Linked DNA regions of Pelodiscus sinensis. Each later gene encodes a partner of the first gene's protein in a complex. Links are inferred from orthologs where the notes say so. Each region holds a gene or a part of one and is shown on either strand. Other genes may lie near its edges. The genes, in order: DOCK5 and ELMO1.

The links.
Region 2: the proteins of DOCK5 (region 1) and ELMO1 are in contact, whole or in part, in a cryo-EM structure (PDB 8JHK), measured with the Homo sapiens proteins. The link is inferred for Pelodiscus sinensis from reciprocal best matches to the Homo sapiens genes DOCK5 and ELMO1. Residues at the interface, in NP_079216.4 of Homo sapiens: Met1, Ala2, Arg3, Trp4, Val14, Ala15, Ile16, Tyr17, Asn18, Ser22, Gln23, Gln30, Ile31, Gly32, Asp33, Thr34, Glu39, Tyr41, Gly43, Trp44, Arg46, Tyr48, Lys56, Ile58, Pro60, Glu61, Thr62, Tyr63, His65, Leu66; in NP_001193409.1 of Homo sapiens: Ile7, Val8, Lys9, Ala11, Tyr18, Pro19, Leu21, Glu23, Glu36, Asp39, Gly40, Ser42, Asn71, Gly72, Gln392, Asp393, Leu400, Glu401, Lys468, Arg531, Glu535, Leu536, Lys539, Leu547, Gln550, Gln551, Asn554, Arg555, Asn582, Thr688.

Annotation. Positions count from the first base shown.
Region 1 is NC_134738.1:9,591,789-9,602,371, reverse strand, and holds the start of DOCK5 (dedicator of cytokinesis protein 5), read left to right. Parts: upstream 1-6,658; 5' UTR 6,659-7,102; coding exon 7,103-7,145; intron 7,146-10,583. UniProt on the Homo sapiens protein: Guanine nucleotide exchange factor (GEF) for Rho and Rac. GEF proteins activate small GTPases by exchanging bound GDP for free GTP. Along with DOCK1, mediates CRK/CRKL regulation of epithelial and endothelial cell spreading and migration on type IV collagen.
Region 2 is NC_134712.1:168,648,991-168,658,631, reverse strand, and holds the start of ELMO1 (engulfment and cell motility protein 1), read right to left. Parts: upstream 4,613-9,641; 5' UTR 4,355-4,612; intron 1-4,354. UniProt on the Homo sapiens protein: Involved in cytoskeletal rearrangements required for phagocytosis of apoptotic cells and cell motility. Acts in association with DOCK1 and CRK. Was initially proposed to be required in complex with DOCK1 to activate Rac Rho small GTPases.

The DNA.
Region 1 (10,583 bases):
AAAGCGTGTCTACATTGGTCACGGACACTTTTCCGGAAAAAGTGCTTTTCCGGAAAAGCATCCTGCCAATGTAGACGTGCTTCTTCCGGAAATACTTATAACGGAAAACTGTTCCGTTTTAAGCATTTCCAGAAAAGGGTGCCAGTGTAGACGTAGCCGCGGTCATGTTCTTTACTGGCTTGGATTTGCACATTGACTACAAGGTGGAGTAAATCAGCACACAGTTCAACCTGGACTTTTCATTATGTGTATTTAAGAAAACCAGACTGCATGAAGAACTTTTAGGTCTCCAAGCACTTTAAATGAGTAGGTATGGTTTCCTCCAGGCCTATGAGAGGATGGGAATAGTCCATTGTCATGAAACAAGTCAATGGCTGAGCTGGGAACAGAACCCCTGTGCAGTGGCAGCCCGTCAATACAGGCAACCTAGGCGGTCACCTAGGACACCAAGATAAACGGCCGTTGCAGGCTTTGGAGGCGGGAGCACTGATAGCATGCCAATCACGCCTTTTCGCCTAGGGAGCCAGTTGCCGGCAGCTCGTCTAGGGCCGCTCCTGTCCCTGTGACACCCACAGTGGGGCCTTGGCTCAGACCCTTGTGCTCACTGTGTGTGTCTGCCTCCAAGATAAGCCAGCTCCAGATAAGTCCCTGCCCTGCAATCAAACAGAGCTCTGGCCCATTGCTCACAACATTTATTATCTGTCATTTTAGCTCAGTGATGCCACAGAAAGAGGACCGTTTTGCCCTGCATAGAGGATCTTTTTGATCCGGTAAGATAATGCTTCTAAAACTCCCCGTCAGCAAGAAAAAGGAAGCACGGAGAAACTTTGAAAATCTGCTGGAAAGGGTCCTTTGTACTAGGCTAGGTAAGTGTCTTTCTTGGGGACCATTGGGCCATATTCCAAGGAGTGGTGATGGAAACTCTAGTAGCTAGGTACTTATGTGACCCCATCATAAGAACATGAGAACGGCCATACTGGGTCAGGCCAAAGGTCCATCTAGCCCAGTATCCTGTCTGCCGACTGTGGCCAATGCCAGATGCCCCAGAGGGAGGGAACACAACAGGTAATCCTCACGTGATCCCTCATGTCATCCGTTTCCAGACAAACAGAGGCTAAGGACGCCATTCCTACCCATCCTGGCTACTAGCCCTTGATGGACCTAACCTCCATGACTCTAGCTCTTTTTTGAACCCTGTTAAAGTCCTAGTCTGTACAACATCCTCTGGCAAAGAGTTCCGCAGGTTGACTGTGCGCTGCGTGAAGAAAAACTTCCTTTTATTTGTTTTAAACCTGCTACCTATTAATTTCATTTGGTGATCCCTCGTTCTTCTGTTATGGGAACAAGTAAATAACTTTCCTCATTCAATTTTTCCACACCAGTCATGATTTTCTAGACTTCTATCATATCTCTCCCTATCCCCCATAGTTTCCTCTTTTCTAGGCTGAAAAGTCTTTTTAATCTCTCTTCATATGGGACCCGTTCCAAACCTCTAATCACTTTTGTGGCCCTTCTTGAACCTTAACAGTAACGGAGGAGTCTAAATGCCTTTGAGGATCTGGGTCCGAGTGCTTTGGAACTACTCATGAATATATATTCCCAACCTCCCTATGAAACAGAGAGACTATTCACCCCTAGTTGTACAGGTGGGGAACTGAGACACAGAGAAATGAGGGGCTAATTGAGTTTAAGGGGAGCTGTGAAGGATCAACAACCCTTAAATTCAAACTCTAAGAGGCCTTGGGCCAAGGTCACATTGGGAGGAACTGGATGTAAATCTCCTTAGTCCCAATAAAGGGTGTGTCTAGACTACAGGATTTTGTCGACAAAAGTGGACTTTTGTCGACAAAACTAAACCTGCGTCTACACTTCCGCTGAGTTCTGTCGACAGAACGTCGACAGAACTCAGCAGTTTTGTCGACGCTGATAAACCTCATTTTACGAGGCATAACGCCTTCTGTTGACAGAGTTCTGTTGACAGAAAGCGTTATTGCATCTAAACTGTCCTTTGCATCTACACTGCCAAGTTGACAAAGCAGCTTGCTTTGTCGACAGAACTGAATGTAGTGTAGATGCTCTTTGTCGACAGAAGCTTTGTCGACAGTATCTGTCGACAAAACTTCTGTCGACAAAAGCCTGTAGTCTAGATGTACCCATAGTGTCTCAGTCATCAGACCATCCCTTCTACATTGTTAAACTAGAAGATTTACTGAGCGTCGCTTGGGTCCTTAACTCAAAAATGTTCTGTTTTTCTTCATTTAAACCATTGCTCTGGGGTAGGGCTGGGGACGAGGGGGTCAGTATGGAGGCTGCCCTGGGAGAAAGGACAACCCCAGCCCTCTCATTGCAGCAGCTTGGGGCCAGGTGAGAAGTGCTTCTTCATGGCCACTGCACCTGCTGCAGGCACAGCCAGTGGAGGGGTGCATGTCCTCCAGCTGGGGGATAGATAGACACACAAAGACATACAGACCCACAAACAGACAAACTCTCTAAAATATATAGTAGATACCTGTTCCTTTCTCCACCCTTGCCCCCTGCTGGCCCAATGGGATTATAGCTGTCTTGATCCCCATCTCTGGTCCTTTGCTGCCCCCTGTGGTCATTTTATAGTATAACTGTCCCTCCTCCCAGACCTCTCCTTTTTCATTTGATGAGAAACAGTCGAATTCTAAGCACATCCCATTGTCCTGGCACAGCCAAACTCTGACCCTGCTTTAAGTTATGATAACAGGAAGCTGCCTACCAAATTTGGTGTTCCTCTTTGCTCTTACCATTTAGTAGAAGTTCTTGAACAAACTCTCTCATGGACAGACACACAGACAAAGTTTCCAAAATATATAGTACATTAGTATTGATGGGCCAAATTCATCTCAATCAGAATTTAGCCTATAGGTCTGTTGAGGGAATAGACTCCAGCTCACACTCCCAGGTCTATGTTGGTTAAGCAGTGATATATAACTTTTTTTTTTAATTGAGCAGATATGACTAAAGACTCACAGGGAGTAAAAGTGAAGAAGGTGCAACTTACCCAGAATCACTTCTCTAAGCAACAACAAAAAACACAGCGAGAGGAAGGAGATACATCTGGGACTGTTTACTAGGCACAGAACTGATGTTCTATGTAAGAAAAATTCACCCAACTTTTCCTAAATAGGACACGTCACCAGGTGTGTTTTGCTTTTTGTTTTTCATTTGCTGCAGGGAATTTGCCTTGCCTCGCCTGGAAAACGAGCAGAATCTTAAACACGTTGAAAACAGTTGTGTCATGATTGTAATGTTTCTGACACCAGTACACAGCCAAAGTTACCAGCCCTCTGTGGTACTAGTGGCAGCAGGGGGCCGACAGCTTCTGCAGACCCCTGGGAAAGGTGTGTGTGGGGTAGCTCCATGTGCCCCTAAGAGGTGGGGCTTCAGGCGAATGGGGCAAGGCTGGTGCAGCCAGCTCTTAGTGCCGACCAGACCGTGGCACTGGACTCCCCAAGCCCTCAGAGCCCCAGGCCTTAGAGCTCGTCTTAGGGGTGGGTGAGTTAAGCAGTTGCTTGGAGATGCCATTTTCAAGGGGCCGCCAATGGAGCCAGTGATAGGGGTGGGCCACAAACCCCATTTCGGCCCAACATCACGAGCCATCCCGCTACATTTCCCTGGTTACTCCCTGACCCCCCTTTTTTTGCTTTACAAATATTTGTCCGTTTTTTTTTTTTTTTTTTAATATATAGTAGATAGCAACCCTACCCGGGTGAGCTGGGCAGTCGCCCGGGGCCACCAAATGCCCCTTTGAATCACGGCAACTGCCCCCTTTGCCCATCCCCTATTGGTGGGCCTGAGTAGCAGCAGAGAGTTTAACAAGCTACACTTGGAGGCTCATATTAAGGAAAAAAAGCTCCCATTTACGCATCTAAATAAGGGCCGGATTTTGGAAAGAGCTCAGTCCCCGGGCATGTCTCCAATATGCTGCGTTATAGTGAAAACATGGACACTTAGTTTGGTGCTTTTCTCGATAATCTGACCCCAACCGTGGGGTGGGGCCCTTTTCAAAATGGAGCTCTTTATGTCTAGTCTATTTCTCTCTTCTCCTTTTGCTCCGACAGCTCAGAAAGCCACTTCAAAGCGTGGTGCCTGTGATAAGAAACAGGAGTTGTGTCTGCTCCAGCCCTATCTAAGGATATCCTAGGGAGGGGTGCTGTAACTGATTTGAATGTTTGCTCAAAGGTAACACACTGCAGCACACAGCAAAATGGTTATTGGCTTGAAGCACTAATCAGAGTTGTCTACTACAAAAGTATTTCTCAACCAGTGGTACGAGTACCCTTAGGGGGACTTGAGAGACGTCTGGGGGCACGTCAACCCAACTGAAATTTGGAGAAAACTGAATTTCTGTTTTAAGTTTTACAGCGTTTTATTATTTTTGTACTTTTTACAGCCAAACATTTCATCACCCACCTGGTTACGATTAAGTTGTTTAAACAAATGTGTTGCCATGGTAAACACAAACTCTGTGTGTCTGAAAACTGTAGGTACTGGGGGTACTTATAATTATTTTTTTTAGAAGGTTTAAAAAAAGGTTGAGAAACACGCACTTTTGGCCACATGCGTGGTCTTGCACAGGAACGCAAGGCGAAGGCTGCACCATCTCCTGACTCAGCACAACTGATCCTTGGCATAGGATCATAAAGGTGGGATGGGTGAATCTTATGGAGTTCAGGGATTTGCAAAACCCAATTTATCGGACAAGTTATGTACAGTAGGAGAAGGACAGATGTTCTACGTGCTTGATCTTTATTCTTTCTCATGATTTCATACAGTGCTCACATCTCAGGGTGAGGGAAAGGATTTTGAAAGGTGCTGGGCACCTCCTGTCAGGTGTCGGGAACCGTCAGGAGGTTTCGAGGATCCGGGTCAGAAACGATACAGTGTTAGGGACAAGGATCCTGTCTTACATGCCACATGTCAATTACCTGGTGTTATGTAAAGAATAAATTGTTCAACTCGTTCTGACTTGCCTCTTGTTCCAGCCACGAAACACACTCGTCTCCGATCTGCTGGTCAGAGTTACCATCGCCCATCCTCAGGGTCCAGCCACATTCATGGCCTTAGGTGTGTTTGTTATCATAAAGGTACGGCCGTCACAAAAACATCCTGAGCAGCGCTTGGAAACAAATGCACGACATCTTTTTTAGTAGATGGCTTGGGTTTTCTAAACGAAACTGGGTGTAACCTTGCAACACTTCACCACCACAGGATGACTAACTTACTGTGCATGTAACAAACCCTCCAGCTACATATTTTGACACCGCCAGGTATATTTAAAGATACAGTACAGTATGGACTGTAGTAGTAAAAGCAGTTCTTGATGTGTGAAACTAAGCTTCTGTCTTGGGAGAAGAGGCAAGATATTGTTTATTACAGTAGGACCTACAGGACCCCACTATGCAAGGCACAGCCTACGGAGAGATGGGAGGGGCTAGCCAATGGATCTACATACCCATTCTACATCATAGGCTATGTCTACACTCGCAGTTTCTTGCGCAAGAAATATGTAAATGAGGCTAAGCATGGCCTATTGCTGAGCCTCATTTGCATACCTAATGAGCTGCCATTTTTGCAGAAGAGGCTCTTGAGCTAGAAGGAGCTGTCTACACTGCTCCTTCTTACGCAAGAAAAAGCCTCTTGCACTATGCTGCTACGCCGATTACGTAGGAATAACGGTATTGCACAAGAGGGTTTTTCTTTCGCAAGAAGGGGCAGTATAGACAACTCCTTCCAGCACAAGAGCCTCTTCTGCAAAAATGGCGGCTCATGAGGTATGCAAATGAGGCTCGGTGATATTCCACGCTTACTCTCATTTGCATATTTCTCACGCAAGAAGCCGCGAGTGTAGACATAGCCGCCGACTCCTACTCAGAGCAGCTAGACTGCCCTGCTATTCAGAGCCCTGGTTCCAAGCATAAATGCACCCTAAAGTTACATCAGTAGTAGCCACATCAGTGTTCCCTCTAATCTTTCCCATCTGTGTGTGGAATAAATTTGTCTACATGCACCAAGGCACGAGCAAATGTGCACCACCAATAGAAACACAAACCTAGCTGTGGGGTCTCTCCCGTTGCACCTCCAGCTCCCCCTACTTTTTCCCCACCTGTGTTATACAAGAGAATGTCTTGGGTCCATCTGAAAACCTTCCCCACCCCCAGTGATTTTCCTCACTGCTAATGGATGATACCTGGTTTGGGGGCATAAGCCTCAAACCTGCACCCATCAGTTTGCAGGAGCAGGGCCTGCAGGTAATGGAAACATAACTGGGGGGAGGTGCCTTTGAAATGGCTCATCCAGGGTCCCAAGCCTGCACAAGCTGAAGTCAAGACGAGTTTTGAGCCCGTTCGGACACCTTGATTGTTCCTGCTCTTGCCTTTGTTTCCCCAGCCCTGGGAATGGTTTTAGGGCAGGACTCGTCATTCCAGCCCAATGCAAACTCAGCCACGCTGCTCGTGTTTGGAAACCTCCCCCACCCCGCTTGCCCCTGTCCCGGATTCGCTTCGGGGAGCGTGAAGCGAGGGTCTGGCACCGGGCTCCGCTTTCCCCAAGCCCATGCTGCGGCTTGGCTCGCCTCCCCCCCGCACGTCAACCCTGGCAAAGCAGCGAGGCGGGGGAACGCTTCGGGAGCCGCCGCCGCCTCTGGACTCGCTCCCGGCTGCGGGGGGCAGAGGGTTAACAGGGCTGCTCCGGAGCCAATCCCTGCCCGGCTGGGAAGTTGCCCAAGTCTGGGGCGGGGAAGGGGGCGCAGAGCGGAGGGTGCCGGGGGCAGAGGTGCAGCTCCGAGCCCGGGCTGGGTGGAGGTGCCCTGGGAAGGGGGCGCTCGCTCCGAGCCCCGGGGAGCCGCGTTGCGGGCGCTGGGGCGGGCGCAGCAGGTGATCCCTCCCGGGCAGGAGGCGGGGAAGGGGCCCGGCGCCGGGAAGTGAGTCGCCGAGCGGCGGGTTCGCAGCGGGGCCCCGAACATGGCGGAGCAGCCCGGGGCGCCCAGCCCGACCCAGCCGCGCCGGGAGCCGGGGGCAGCGCAGCGCCTGCCGCGCTGAGCCTCCGCGGGGAGCGCCCGGCCGCCGCCGCCAGCATGGCCCGCTGGATCCCCACCAAGCGGGAGAAGTACGGGGTCGGTGAGTGCGCGCCCCGCCGCCGGGAGACCGCCCGGCCCCCCGGCTCCCCGCTGCCCCCCGGGCTCCCCGCTGCACCCCCCCCCCCAGGCTCCCCGCGCTGCATCCTCCCGTTGCACCCCCAACTCCCCGCGCTGCACCCTCACGGCCCGGGCTCCCTGCTGCACCCCCCCTGCTCCCCGCTGCCCCCCCGTCTCCCCGCACTGCATCCTCCCGTTGCACCCCCAACTCCCCGCGCTGCACCCCCAAACCCCCTCACGGCCCGGGCTCCCTGCTGCACCCCCCCGGCTCTCCGCGCTGCACCCCCCCGGCTCTCCGCACTGCACCCGCCCGTTGCACCCCCAACTCCCCGCGCTGCACCCCCTGCACGGCCCGGGCTCCTCGCTGCACCCCCAACTCCCCGCGCTGCACCCCCAAACCTCCTCACGGCCCGGGCTCCTCGCTGAACCCCCCCAGCTCCCCGCACTGCTCCCCCCTGCACTGCCCGGGCTCCCCACTGAACCCCCCCAGCTCCCTGCACTGCATCCTCCTGCTGCACCCCCAACTCTCCGTGCTGCACCCCCAAACCTCCTCACGGCCCGGGCTCCTCGCTGAACCCCCCCAACTCCCCGCGCTGCACCCCCCCTCACGGCCCAGGCTCCCCACTGAACCCCCTCAGCTCTCTGCGCTGCATCCTCCCGCTGCACCCCCAACTCCCCGTGCTGCACCCCCAAACCTCCTTACGGCCCGAGCTCCCCGCTGCACCCCCCAGCTCTCCGCACTGCACCCCAACTCCCTGCGTTGCACCCCCCCCGCACAGCTCGGGCTCCCCGCTGCTCTTCACCCCCCAAGCCCTTCCTGCTGCACCTCCAACTCCCTCCTGCTGCACCCCCACACCCAACACGGCCAGGGCTCCCCGCTGCACCCCCTAACTCCCCACACTGCACACCCCCTAACACCCTCCTTCTGTACCCTCCACCCCACATGGCCGGGGTTCCCCACTGCACCCCCACATCCCTCATGGCCCAGGCTCCCTGCTGCACCCCCCCCAACACCCTTCCGCTGCACGTGCCCCCCACCTCGCACTCCCGGGTTCCCTGCTGTACTGCCTGGGCTTCCCACTGCACCCTCCCAACTGCACCTCCCCCGAACATCCCCTGCATTGCCCGGGCTCCCCACTGCACCCCCCCAGCACCCCACTTTGCCTGGGCTCCCCCGCACTCTGCGGTCTGCCCATGCCGCTCTGCCCATTGCAGCCCCCACCTTGCCTTCACTGCAAACTCCTTCCAAATATCCCCCCCACTGCAATGATCACTGCAGCCCCCGAACACCTTCTCCAGTGCAAACCCTATTTCAGCCCCCATCCCGAACACTCTCCCCAGGCATTCTCCATGGACGCCTCTCTCTGCAACTCTTCACCCCGTATACTCCCCTCACTGCAGCGCCCTCCCTCCCACTATAGCCCCCAGTCCTAAACACCCCACCCCCCGCAACCCTCGACACTGCCCCTCTGCCCTACTGCAACCCCCCATCCTCAACACTCCCCCTGCACCCTTTGCCTTATTGCAAATACCTTACAACCCAAACACTGTCCAGCTGCCCCACTACAGCCCTCCAACCCAAATGCTCCTCTAGTGCCCTGCCCTGTCTGCTTTCCGCTGCCTGGATTTCCCTGTACACCCTCCTACCCCAGTGCATGCGCTCTCTTGCTGTTCCACTCCACCCCCATGCAACTCCCCCTCTCTCCTCTGACCCCACCCGCTGCGTCCCCAGGCACTCTGCTATGTCCTCTACTCCACGGGCTCTCAGACTTCATTGTACCACCACCCAGTTACTCTGTGAAGAAAGTCTGAACCCCATCTCCTGGCCTAGGGGGGACAAAGTTAATGAGCAAAGGCTTCAACCCCAGGCAGCAGGCCTGAGCCCTGGCAATCCCATTAAAACGGGGCTGTGACCAATTTTCCCTCTAATCTTTTCCATCCACGTGTGGATTTTTTCCTCACCCATGTGCAGAATAATTTTTCTATGTGCACTGAGGTATATGCTTATGTGCACCACCAGTATAAACACAAACCTAGCTGTGGGTGCTCTGCTAATCAGCTGGGTGGCACTTGAATCTCTCCTGAGCAGTTGCCCAAGCACTCAGCTTACAGGGAACACTGGTAGGGATGTTAAAATTAGATTAATCAACGAATCAAAGAGTCGATGGAATTTTCATCGACTATTCATTTAGTCGAGAAAGGCGCTTTTGCTTTGACATGTAGCAAGAGCCGGCTGGGCTGTTGCTATATTTCAAAGGCGGAAGTGCCCTGCAGTGTTTCGCCTTTGAAATGTACAAGATCCCCAGGGTTCTCTGAGTCCCCCACTGGCCCCAGACTCCAGGTGGCGCTTCCGCTTTGGAATGTACAAGAGCCCCAGCAGGGACTCTTGTACATTTCAAAGGTGGAACGCCGCTGCTGCGCACTTACCCCCTCCCACGGAGCTGGGGGGAACCGGCTTTTAAGCCGGTTCCCCCACCCTTCGTATCCCTTCCTCTTCCACTGCCCCCTTGCTTCCTCTTTGAGATAGAAGCAGCAAGGGGGGAGAAGGACTGGTGTGTCAACTATCTGATAAGCTTACATCCCTAAACACTGGTGGTGACTCACTTGTGGGTCCTGACCCACAGTTTGAGAACTGCTGCTTTACTCCCCCAGGGCGCTTCCCCTCACACGCTACGCCAGCCATCTCTGTGTATGCACCTATGCAACCTCTTCCCCCACCCCAACATGCCTTGCTCTCTCACTATGCACCTCCCTCTGCAGCTACCCCCTCACCACTGCGCTCTCTGAAACCCCTACCCGTGTTCCCTTCTCCCTCAGCAGCCCCGCCTGTGGTCCCAGCGAATATTCATCTCCCCTCTGATTCGTTATTTGCGTAGCTCCTGCCCCACAGCACCTGCGATTCCCCCGCCCTACTGCAGTTTCTCTCACCCCCTTCACCCCACATTGATTTTTCTCTCATTTGTCTCCACCCTGCTTATTTAATTTCTTCTCCCATCCCCATTCGTGACCTTTTGACTTCATGCCACCCACCCCTTCTAGCTTGCCCCTTTGAATTCTTCTGACTGCATTTTGATTCCCTTGCGCTACTCTTTGATTCCTCCCTCCCCCCCCCCCCCCCCCACTTTGGTCTTTGCCTGGAGCTTTCAGCTGCTGATATTCCTTGGGACTTTATTTAGCTTCGAGACCTTGGAGTTGGAAGGGGGGATCGAGACCCAGCGTAGTTCTGTGTTGCTTTGGTTTTCATTCACTACTGCAAGTGTGTCTCCTGCCTTAGAACTGACCCTGGTTGTGGGGTGCTTGTTGGCACTCCAGTCTGCCTCTACGGCGGCCTCCGAAGGCCATCCAGATGGGGAAGGAAGGGGGAGACAGCGACAGTGACTGTGCTGCAGTGTCTGGCTTCCTCGCCCCCATGGGTTATAGG
Region 2 (9,641 bases), on another chromosome or scaffold:
TTCTGTCTGAACTAGAGCATCTCTTTTAAAAGCATCCAATCTTGATTTAAAAAATTGTCAGTGATGGAGAATCTACCACCACCTCAGTTCTAATGTTTAACTAACTTCACTGGTTTAAAAAAAGAAATTCTCCTACTTCTAGCCTGACTTTGTCAAACTACAGGATCTTCTTGTACCTAGCTCTGCAAGAGTGAAGTGCTCTCTATCATCAAATTTGATAATTGTCAAATTTCTGTTCCCACTCAGATACTTATGGACTGTGATCAAGCCACCCCTTAACCTTCTTTTTTTCCCCTCAGTGTAAATAGATTGAGTCTTTAAATGAGAGATGGGGAACCTAAGGCCCAGGGGCTGGATCCGGCCCAAGGCAATGCTCATGCTGGTGCTCCAGTCCCCCCACTGTCCCTCCACGGGGCTGGAGTACATAAAATCTACCAAAGGCTCTGGAGAGGAATGTCTCCTTCTCGGGGGGATGGGGGGGCGCCTGCCTCAGTGAGGGGCTTCTGCGGTTTGTTTTTGTTTTTTTTAATTTTTTGTTTCTCACTTGTGTGCGGTCTCTGATTGATTTTTCTGTGGGTCAGCGGCCACCAACCCAAAAAAAGGCTCCCTGCCCCTACTATAAATAATATTTTCCAATACTTCAATTATTCTTGTGGCTCTTCTCCAAACCCTTTCCAATTTATCAGCAGCAAAATGCATCATTTGCTTCTGGAGACCTGAATTCGAGTGATAACAGGGTCATAGATTGGGGAGGAAATTGTGTTTCATGACCTCATAATCTCAAATGAATCCTTACCAAAATCACAGAACCACAAGAGACTTTCATGTTATGCTTGCTAATCTATTCAACAAAGGTGAGGCCCAATGTTGGAGTAACTGGAGGTACATACTGCATGACAGCATGGAGGAGGACTGGAAGAGCTGTGTAAGAAAGCTTGCACTAATCACAGTTATGCGTAAGGATGTCAGTCCCTCACTTTCACATGCACTAAATTTGTGTCTTATATTTTACAAAAGAAACAATATTTAAATCAGGCATTATCTGTAACAACATGGAAAATATGAGATCACATCCAAACACCTCTGAAAAGCCTGACCTTCATAGCAAAGAAAATGTGTGAGCTCAAACCTAATATCAAAGATATTTCTATTAAGAGAGTAAACAAAGAGCGGAAGGAAGGGTGGAGCATCAGCACTGTAGATCTGCAATTTGCCACAGAAGGGCATTGCTATAAGGAAGTATCATACATGCAGCAGCATTTCAGTAACAGTTAAACCTCTAGGAGCACTTACTTTTTCTATTATACACTGGTAGAGAGCATGTAACAAGTTGGCAATAAGGGAGGGGAAATCAAGTCCTCTGACAGTACAATGAACTCAATGTAATACACTTAAATGCTAAGAAATGGAATTGAGTAGATCATTGTTGAAGTATTGTTTTGTTTTGTTTTGCATCAATCTATTGCATTTCTAAAAATATTTTCCATATGTAATCTGTAAAATGCATTGTTAAACTAGTTACTTTCAATGATAAAAATACAGTTGCTCTATCAATGAGTAAAAGAGTCCACCTAGCTAGTCATCAAAATCCATTCAGCTTTAATTCCATTATATTTTTCTAGTGTAATTCAACAACTTCTGGAAAATTCAAAAATCAAGAGAGTAGAAAAAATCCTCAATTTATTTTCTACTTCTTATCAAAGAAACTCAGCCAGCAACACTCTTCCCTAAACTGCAATTTACAGAGAAGACATAAAATGTATAATGCTACATTGTGATCCTCAATAGGATTACAAAAAATGATTAGCCCATTTAAATGTATAGCTTCACTGCCTACAGAAACTGACAGTTACACAGATCTCTAGATTACTAAATCAAATCAGATAGTCAAAGATCTACATGAACTGCTATATCTGCCAAAAGTATCTATTTAATACAGTTAATGCAGCATCGCGATGCTAATCTTTATTACCCAACACACACAAGTAAATTTTAAAAGTTGCTGCAAGATGATTTAATCACTCCCTAAAATTTGTGTTGTCATATGTGCTTCCTTAATGCTACACCACAGTGAGGTTTACCAGTAAATTACCACTAGTTCTTTCTCCTTACTACCTATGTACTACTACACAGTCAGATTACAGCTATTAAATATATCACTAGAATTAAATAGTTCTTTTTCCATTATGGAACTGGCTGGCTTGGAAAACAGAATAGTTTTGATGCACAGACAATTTGAACTCAAGGTTGAGCATGAAAAGAGCCAGGAAAAATGCAGGTATTTTTCTGCATTTGAGAAATAGTCAGCATAGGTTGAGCTACTTAGGAGGCATGTCACTAAAGAAGCCAGTTAGCAATAAACACTGAATGATCTCTAACATGTAGAAAGAGCATGGTCTGGTACCCCATTCACTGATGAGCTAGTCAATCCAATTGCCTAGCCCACATCCCACTTTGAGTAATAAAGGATTTTGTTGTAGTCATCCTTAACTTTTCCCTTCATAAGATTTTAATAAGGGACAGTGCAACAGCCTAAGCTCAAAGTCTAAAGAAAAACTAGATACTTGTAAAGGTATTTCAAATGTATGTATTTACACCACAAATGAGGTTCAAATTATAGACAATATTGTCTATATTAAAGAAGTTAGCACATTATACAGTTCTGGCACCATTATCTTCTTTGGCTCTGTCTTCTCCATGTTTGTCCTACATTTTACCCTTGACAAGTTAAGAGGAAGGCTTACAAAATAATAAAATATGGCTCTTCCCAAATGTACTCAGCTATTTTTCCGAAACTTTGAAATTTATTTTCTATATTCTCAAGAGTGAGCTGGACAGTTGTGTTAATTCTGCAAGGGAAAGATAATCAACATAAACTGCAAGGGCTTTAAGCCAAAAAAACGGAACACTCCACTTCTTAGATTTCATACCCACTTGGTTTAAGGGGTTGTGCACCATGGTTATGCATAATTTCCACCCACATTCCAGCACAATAATTTTATATGAAAATGCATCCTCAGATTATTTGTATAACTATGGGTACAAATCTTAGAAAAGGCAACCCCTTACTGAGAGCTCTTTTACAACTGACTAAAAGTTCTTGGCAAAGAGAGAAGGCATGAACTCAGAAGGTGACTAACTGCAATGAACTAAGGGGCTGGCCTAGATGCAGAGTTGCATTGCTTTAATTTAAGATGTCTTTTTAAACTAATTTGATAATCCCTGCAAGATGCTGTACTGTAGTTCTTAACTGTGTTTCAATCAACCTTATTTCAATGTATCTTGTACATTTTAGAAACAGATATAAATTAAACCAAAATAAGCCATTCTTAAACAGAAAAAAAGAGCATCCATGCTACTATCAGCAGTTACTAAACCAGAACAAGTTTGTATGCAGAGAACCCTTACTCTTTAGGCTTCAAATCTATGATTGGGTTGGAGGAGAAAGGAGAGCAAGGACCTTTAGTTCAACCACCTTCCACCAACATATTAAAAGAGTCTCTCAAATCTTCAGGATGATCCCCCCCAATGCATTAGACACACGTGCCCAAGTGACACACAACTACCCACTGCTCTGCAGACAGCCTGCTTTTGCCTGAGTGCATTTGCAGAGGACACGCAAATTGCTAACGCAGATGTTCCCAACCCACTTTATGAGGTCAACCGTCTCTGAGACCAAGTTGCCACGGCCCAGCACTTTGGAACAAGAGGAGCAGCAGAGAGGGATCTGCGGGCGGCTGGAGAGACATCAACCCCCCCAGCACTCAATTACAAACACAGCGCCCAGCCCTGAACTCCTCTTTCGGGGTGTGACTGGGAGGGGGAGGCCTGGGGCAGGGGGTGAGGGGCGGAGCAGAGCCGGGGCAGAGGGAGCAGGCGGTGTCACGGGGGCGCGAGTGAAAGGGCGGGTCGGGGAGGTGAACGAGCCCCCCCCCCACACACACACACACACACACACACGCGCGCGCGCGCAGCTGCCGGGCCCGGGGCTGTAGCCGCAAAGCAGCCGCCCCGCGCCCTGACCCGGAGCAGCCGGGCGCGCTGACAAGCACGCGGGAGGGCGGCCGCGTTTCCTCTTCCTCAGCGCCGATGTCAGGCAGCCGCTTCCCCCCTGCCCCGGCCGCGCTCCACCCGCCGCCGCCTCCTCCCCTGCGGGGCCGGGCAGCCCCCGGGACGCGTCTCCCTCCTCCCCAGCCGCGGCCAGGTGCGGGCTCTGCTCCCGCCGCCGGCATCCTCCCCCAGCGCCGCCCCCGCTGCCCTCAGCATCCCCCGCGCGGGAACCTGCCGCGCCCCACCTCAGCCCCCCGCAGCGGCGCCTCTCCCCGCAGACCTGCCCCAAGCGAGAGGCGAGTACCTTACAAAACCCGGCTCCACCGTCAGCGGCCGCCAAGTGCAGAGCGGCGCCGGGGGCAAGTTTGCTGCCCTGCTGCAACCAGCGCCTGGCAACTCCGTGGTTTCTTTTCCCCGGCCCGCGCCTCTCCCACCATTGAAGTTGAGCTTTTGACCGCTGCTGTTTTGGTATTTCTGACTCTATCCCATCATCAGACTCAAACACACACACACACTGCTGCTGCTGCTGCTGTTGCTGCTGCTCTCACTTCCTCTTCCTTCCTCCTGCTGGCCACACACCCAATTTGCATCTGCAAGAAGCCCCAAGATAATCTGCGAAGTATCTCTGAAGGAATGCTGAGTAGTTACCAGCACCTGCAAAATGCAGGACGCACCGTTGTGCGTTGTGCGCATCTTTCATGCTCTTTCTGTAATCTTTGGGGTTTTACAATCTACATGGCATGCTGTGATCATGTTTCTTCCCACGATCTCCATTTTGTACATCCCCTTTTAAAAATCACTAAAATGTACAGAATTTTGAAAAAGAAACCTCAGTACTTTTGCTCTAACAATCTTAAGAGATTTTTCATTGGCTGCAGTGAATGATTTTGCAACAGCACCCTTTTAGCTGTTTCTACATAGAACATAATTTTCACTTAAAAAAGGATAAGCAGCATTCAGGTGATCCTGCTACTTAGCACAAACTCTTACAGCATGAGCCGCAGGAGAAATCATCTTTAACTTTCAGCAAACATGACACACACTTCTAGGGTGCATCTACAGAGCACCAGAACTCAAAATTAGATACACAATTTGCATAGCTTAAATTGCATATCTCAGTGTTTCTCAAACTGCTCCACGGAGCCCGAGACATCTCCAGGGGCTCCACGAGGTAGACAAACTGGAAACATAGATAGGTACAACACATACAATCAGTGGACCGCCAGGGCTCTGCATACATTTTTACGCATGTAAAGGGCTCCAGAGCCCAAAAAGTTTGAGAACCACTGGTGTATCTTATTTCAATGCTGTTTCAAAATAGCTTATTTCATTACTTGGAGCTGTCTGCACATTGCCAAATTTCTAAATAAAGTGCTATTCTGAAATGTCCCTTACTCCTCGTAGAATAAGGTTTACAGGGACATCAGAATAGCAAACCCAAAATAACAGGCTTGCTGTGTAGACAGTGGATATCTATTTCAGGATACTCTAGTATCCTGAAATAGCATTGCATTGTAGATCAGTGGTCCCCAACGCAGTGCCCGCAGGCGCCATGGCGCCCCCCGGGCCATTTATGTGCGCCCGCGGAGCAATCTGGGCTGGTCCCGCCCCCGGGCGTGCGGCAGGTGCCAGCCCCGGGCACATGGGCGGCCCCTGACCCGGGGTCGTGGCGCATGCCAGTGCCGGCTCCATGCATGCGGCGCCTGGGCGGCCCCTGCCCAGGGTTGCAGCACATGCTGGTGCCGGCCCTGGCCCCGGGGGCACAGCACATGCCGGTGCCAGCCCCATGCATGTGGCGCCTGGGCGGCCCCTGCCCGGGGTCACAGCACATGCCGGTGCTGGCCCCGGGCGCGCGACACCTGGGCTGCCCCTGCCCGGGGTCACGGCACATGCAGGTGCCGGCCCCGGGCGTGCGGCGCATGCTTGGCCCCACCCCCAAGCACGTGGCCCGTGAGCGGCCCCGCCCCTGTACACGTGGCACGTGAGCAGCCCCGCCCCCAGGCGCCCGGCAGCCCCAAAACGTTGGGGACCACTGGTGTAGATGTACTCATAGGGTGCGTCCACACATCAGGGCTTAACTTGAAATAAGCTACACAAATTGAGCTATGTCAATTGCATAGTTTATTTTGAAATAGCTTATTTTGAAATTGGGAGTGTCTACACAGCACTTATTTCAAAATAGAGCACTCTTCCTCTGTCTTCCCTTACTCTTCATAAAATGAGGGTTACAGGAGTCAGAGTAAGAAGTCCGGCTTGACAGTATTTCAACATTCTTTTGAAATAATTGTCTGCTGTGTAGACGCAGACTACGTTATTTTGAAATAACTCGTTATTTCAAAATAATGTTGCTGTGTAGATGTACCCATATAGTTCAGAATACATCCAGGAGAGGGTGGTAGCACTCATATGCTTTATAATGGATTTTATCAAACGATTAGTAATTTTGAGTGTCCAATTTAAGGAACCCAGCCTGACTTCCAGGAAGTGCAAGCGCCCACTGTCTGACAATCAGATCTCTTTAAATGTCTTTAAACTGCCCCAAAATGGAGGCACCAAAAATCACTAATAACTTTGGAAAATCTTAGCTAGTTCAATACATATTCACAAAACCTATCCTCAAATATCAGGGGTTCTTAGAAGCTCAGATCTTGCTTTTGAATCAAGAGGCCACCTAAGAACTTCCCATTTGTTCCTGTTAGAAGTAGTGTAATATTTGTGCATAATTTATATATTTTTTAAATTATTTATCAATAATTGATGAAAAACACCAACATTTTCAGCAAATACTGGTGTCAATACTACAAAACTTACATATGGGAATAACTGCTTAAATTAATAGTACCGTTGCTTTCACTTTTATAAAAGCACTCACATGCTTAAGTGCTTGCAGGCCTGGGCCCTACAATTACAGTACAATTGCAATACACCAACTCATGTTTATGTGCACCATTGACCTTGAAGAATCGCAGCATTTTAGGCCCCCTACTTGAACTAGAGAAGATGGTGGCCTGTCCTTTGGAGTAGGAAGTTTTATCTCACTGTTTCTATGAAGTTCAGAGTGGTAATGGTATGTGTGCTAGAGCTGACTAAATAATTCAGTGTGAATTAGTCCGTGGTACTACTCACTTAAATAAAACTACTCACATTAAAATGCAGATCTTGTGAATGACCGTGATGGTGATATCACTGATGAGATCACATCTCCAAGACCTGCACATAGAAGTTCTCTGCCACATGTGAACCCAAAAGGGTTGCCAACATTCCAGGATTCGCCTGGTATCACCTGGAATTGGCATGGCTCTTCTGGTGACTTGAAAATAAGCCTGGAGATTTTAATAGGCAATTTTAAGAAAATGACATTATGACATGTTAGGGGGTGGGAGCGGGGGGAGGTGGAATCTCCAGAATAGCTTCAGTCAGAGTTGACAACCCTAGAAACCTACTCTGTATTGTCTTTCCGCCTGCCTGCATGGTAGGAATGACCTACTGCCAAAAAGAGCCCCAGTAGAGCCATGATACTCAGGGATCCTCACTGAGATTTCTTTCCTCTTGGCCTCAGCCTGGTGCAGGAAGGGGTGTTTTGGCCTGATATTTGCAACCTGTGAATGATAGCTGTATAGTACATACTTTGTTAGACTAACTTTAATTTTAAAGTTGTGCTAGTTTTTAAATTAAATAAAGCAAATCATTTACAAAATGTAAAGATACAAACCAGATACGTTTATATTTGTGTTTTCACATATGTTTAATTCATAGTTAAGTGACATAATGAGGTATCCAGAAAGAAAAAGAGATAATAGAAGGGACGTAGAGAAGAACAAAAGTGAATTATAAAATCCTCCAAGAAACTGCTGCTTTCAAGTTTATCCAAGAAGAGAGACCAATCAACATTTGGTGCATGAAATTCACATTGCAGGTAAATGGATTTGTTAAATGGACTGGGAGGGAAGGGGAGAGGGTGTTTAATTGTATTTGTGTGTTTTGTGTTGTATTGTTTTGGTAGGAAGGAGGGTTGTCTAGTTAAATAAATACACAGGATGGTATAATTTTACAAAATATTTTAAACATTTTGTTTACCTATTTTTTTAAATATCAACTCTGGCCCAGATCCTGCAAACATATATACACTTAATTTCATCACTCACAGTTAAGTTAAGTATGTGTGTAAATGTTTGCAGGACTGGGGCATTGAGGTTATTAAAAGTTTTAAAAAAAATAAAATGCAATGTAGTGTTGTTTAGTTAACTTCTATTTTTCTGTCAGATTGGTAATGAAATCAGTGACGTCAGTGTTGCTTTTAGTTTCTTAGTACTGGATTTCAAACTCTATAGGAGAATGTTTATGACTGATATCGGGGAAAAACTAGAAAGCATTCTGAAGACTAGACGCCTCTGATGTGCTCTAGATTATACACAGATCAAGTACTGGCAGCAAGTATACATCAATTCTGAGTTGGAAAACTTTGGATGAGAATTCTTCCATGCATTCCTCAATCACTGGTCTCTTTCAAGTGTCCACCACTAAGCGTACCCATCACTACCCATGATGATAACAGCTTTTGTGCACTAGAGTGACTCCCATTGACTTCACTGGGCCCTGAATCAGCCCCTAAGAACTGGAGTTGGTACATTTGCTAAGTATTTCCAAAGAGCCAGAAGAGGGAGCAAGGGAGCACAGTATGCTGAATACTGTGTATTTTATTTTGTGTGGGGTATTTCAGCTACAACCCTAAAAATAAAGGCAAAGATTTTCAAAGGACTTATGATATTTGGTGCCCTGCTTGAGACACCGCAACGGGGAATCAAGCAGGTTCTCGGCATTTTCTGAAAATCATCTCAAGTTGATCATCCAAATTCTATTATTTTTAAAAATCAGTGCCCTGTCCTTGAATTCATGTAAAGATCTTATGACTATTTTTGTAATGGTAGGGTTTCTACATACAGTTTTCATTGTAATCATTGGGGTCCAACATCCAGCTTGCTGCCCTTTAGTTCCACAGATGGATGTACTTCAGAATTGCTATATGTATATAGATCTTGTCTTGTAAATCCTTGCTTCCATGACTAGTCTGTATTCATATGAGAAATTGCATTGTCTACATAAAATAAGGATTTACAGGTTCACAGCCACAATGTTTAATGCACTTTGAGGTGCAAACTGCCATATAAATGGTATCAGATTATTATTCTTTTTTTATCACAGATAATTTATTTCCTTTTAGTGCTTTGAACATGCTAGTTTATTTGTTTACAAAATATTTTTGCAAATAGTTTATAACAGATTTCAAAATTGTGTCAAAATTGCTTGACCATGATGGCAGTAATTCTAAAAAGAAGTGGCTTGTGGAACTTGAACTTCAGTTCCTACTTTATAATATGCTTACAAATCTCAGTGCATGCTGAAACATCCCTAAACAAATGTTGTCGGTTCAGTTATACAAATGCATGTTACAAGAAGGGCTTTTTAAGTGAATCAATATACTTTAAGCCTGTTTCTGAGTAAATCCATTTCAAAATTATATGTACTCCCATTTTAACACTGCCAGAGTCTTGACAGAGGTATGCTTATGCATAATAAGTATTAGGAAACAA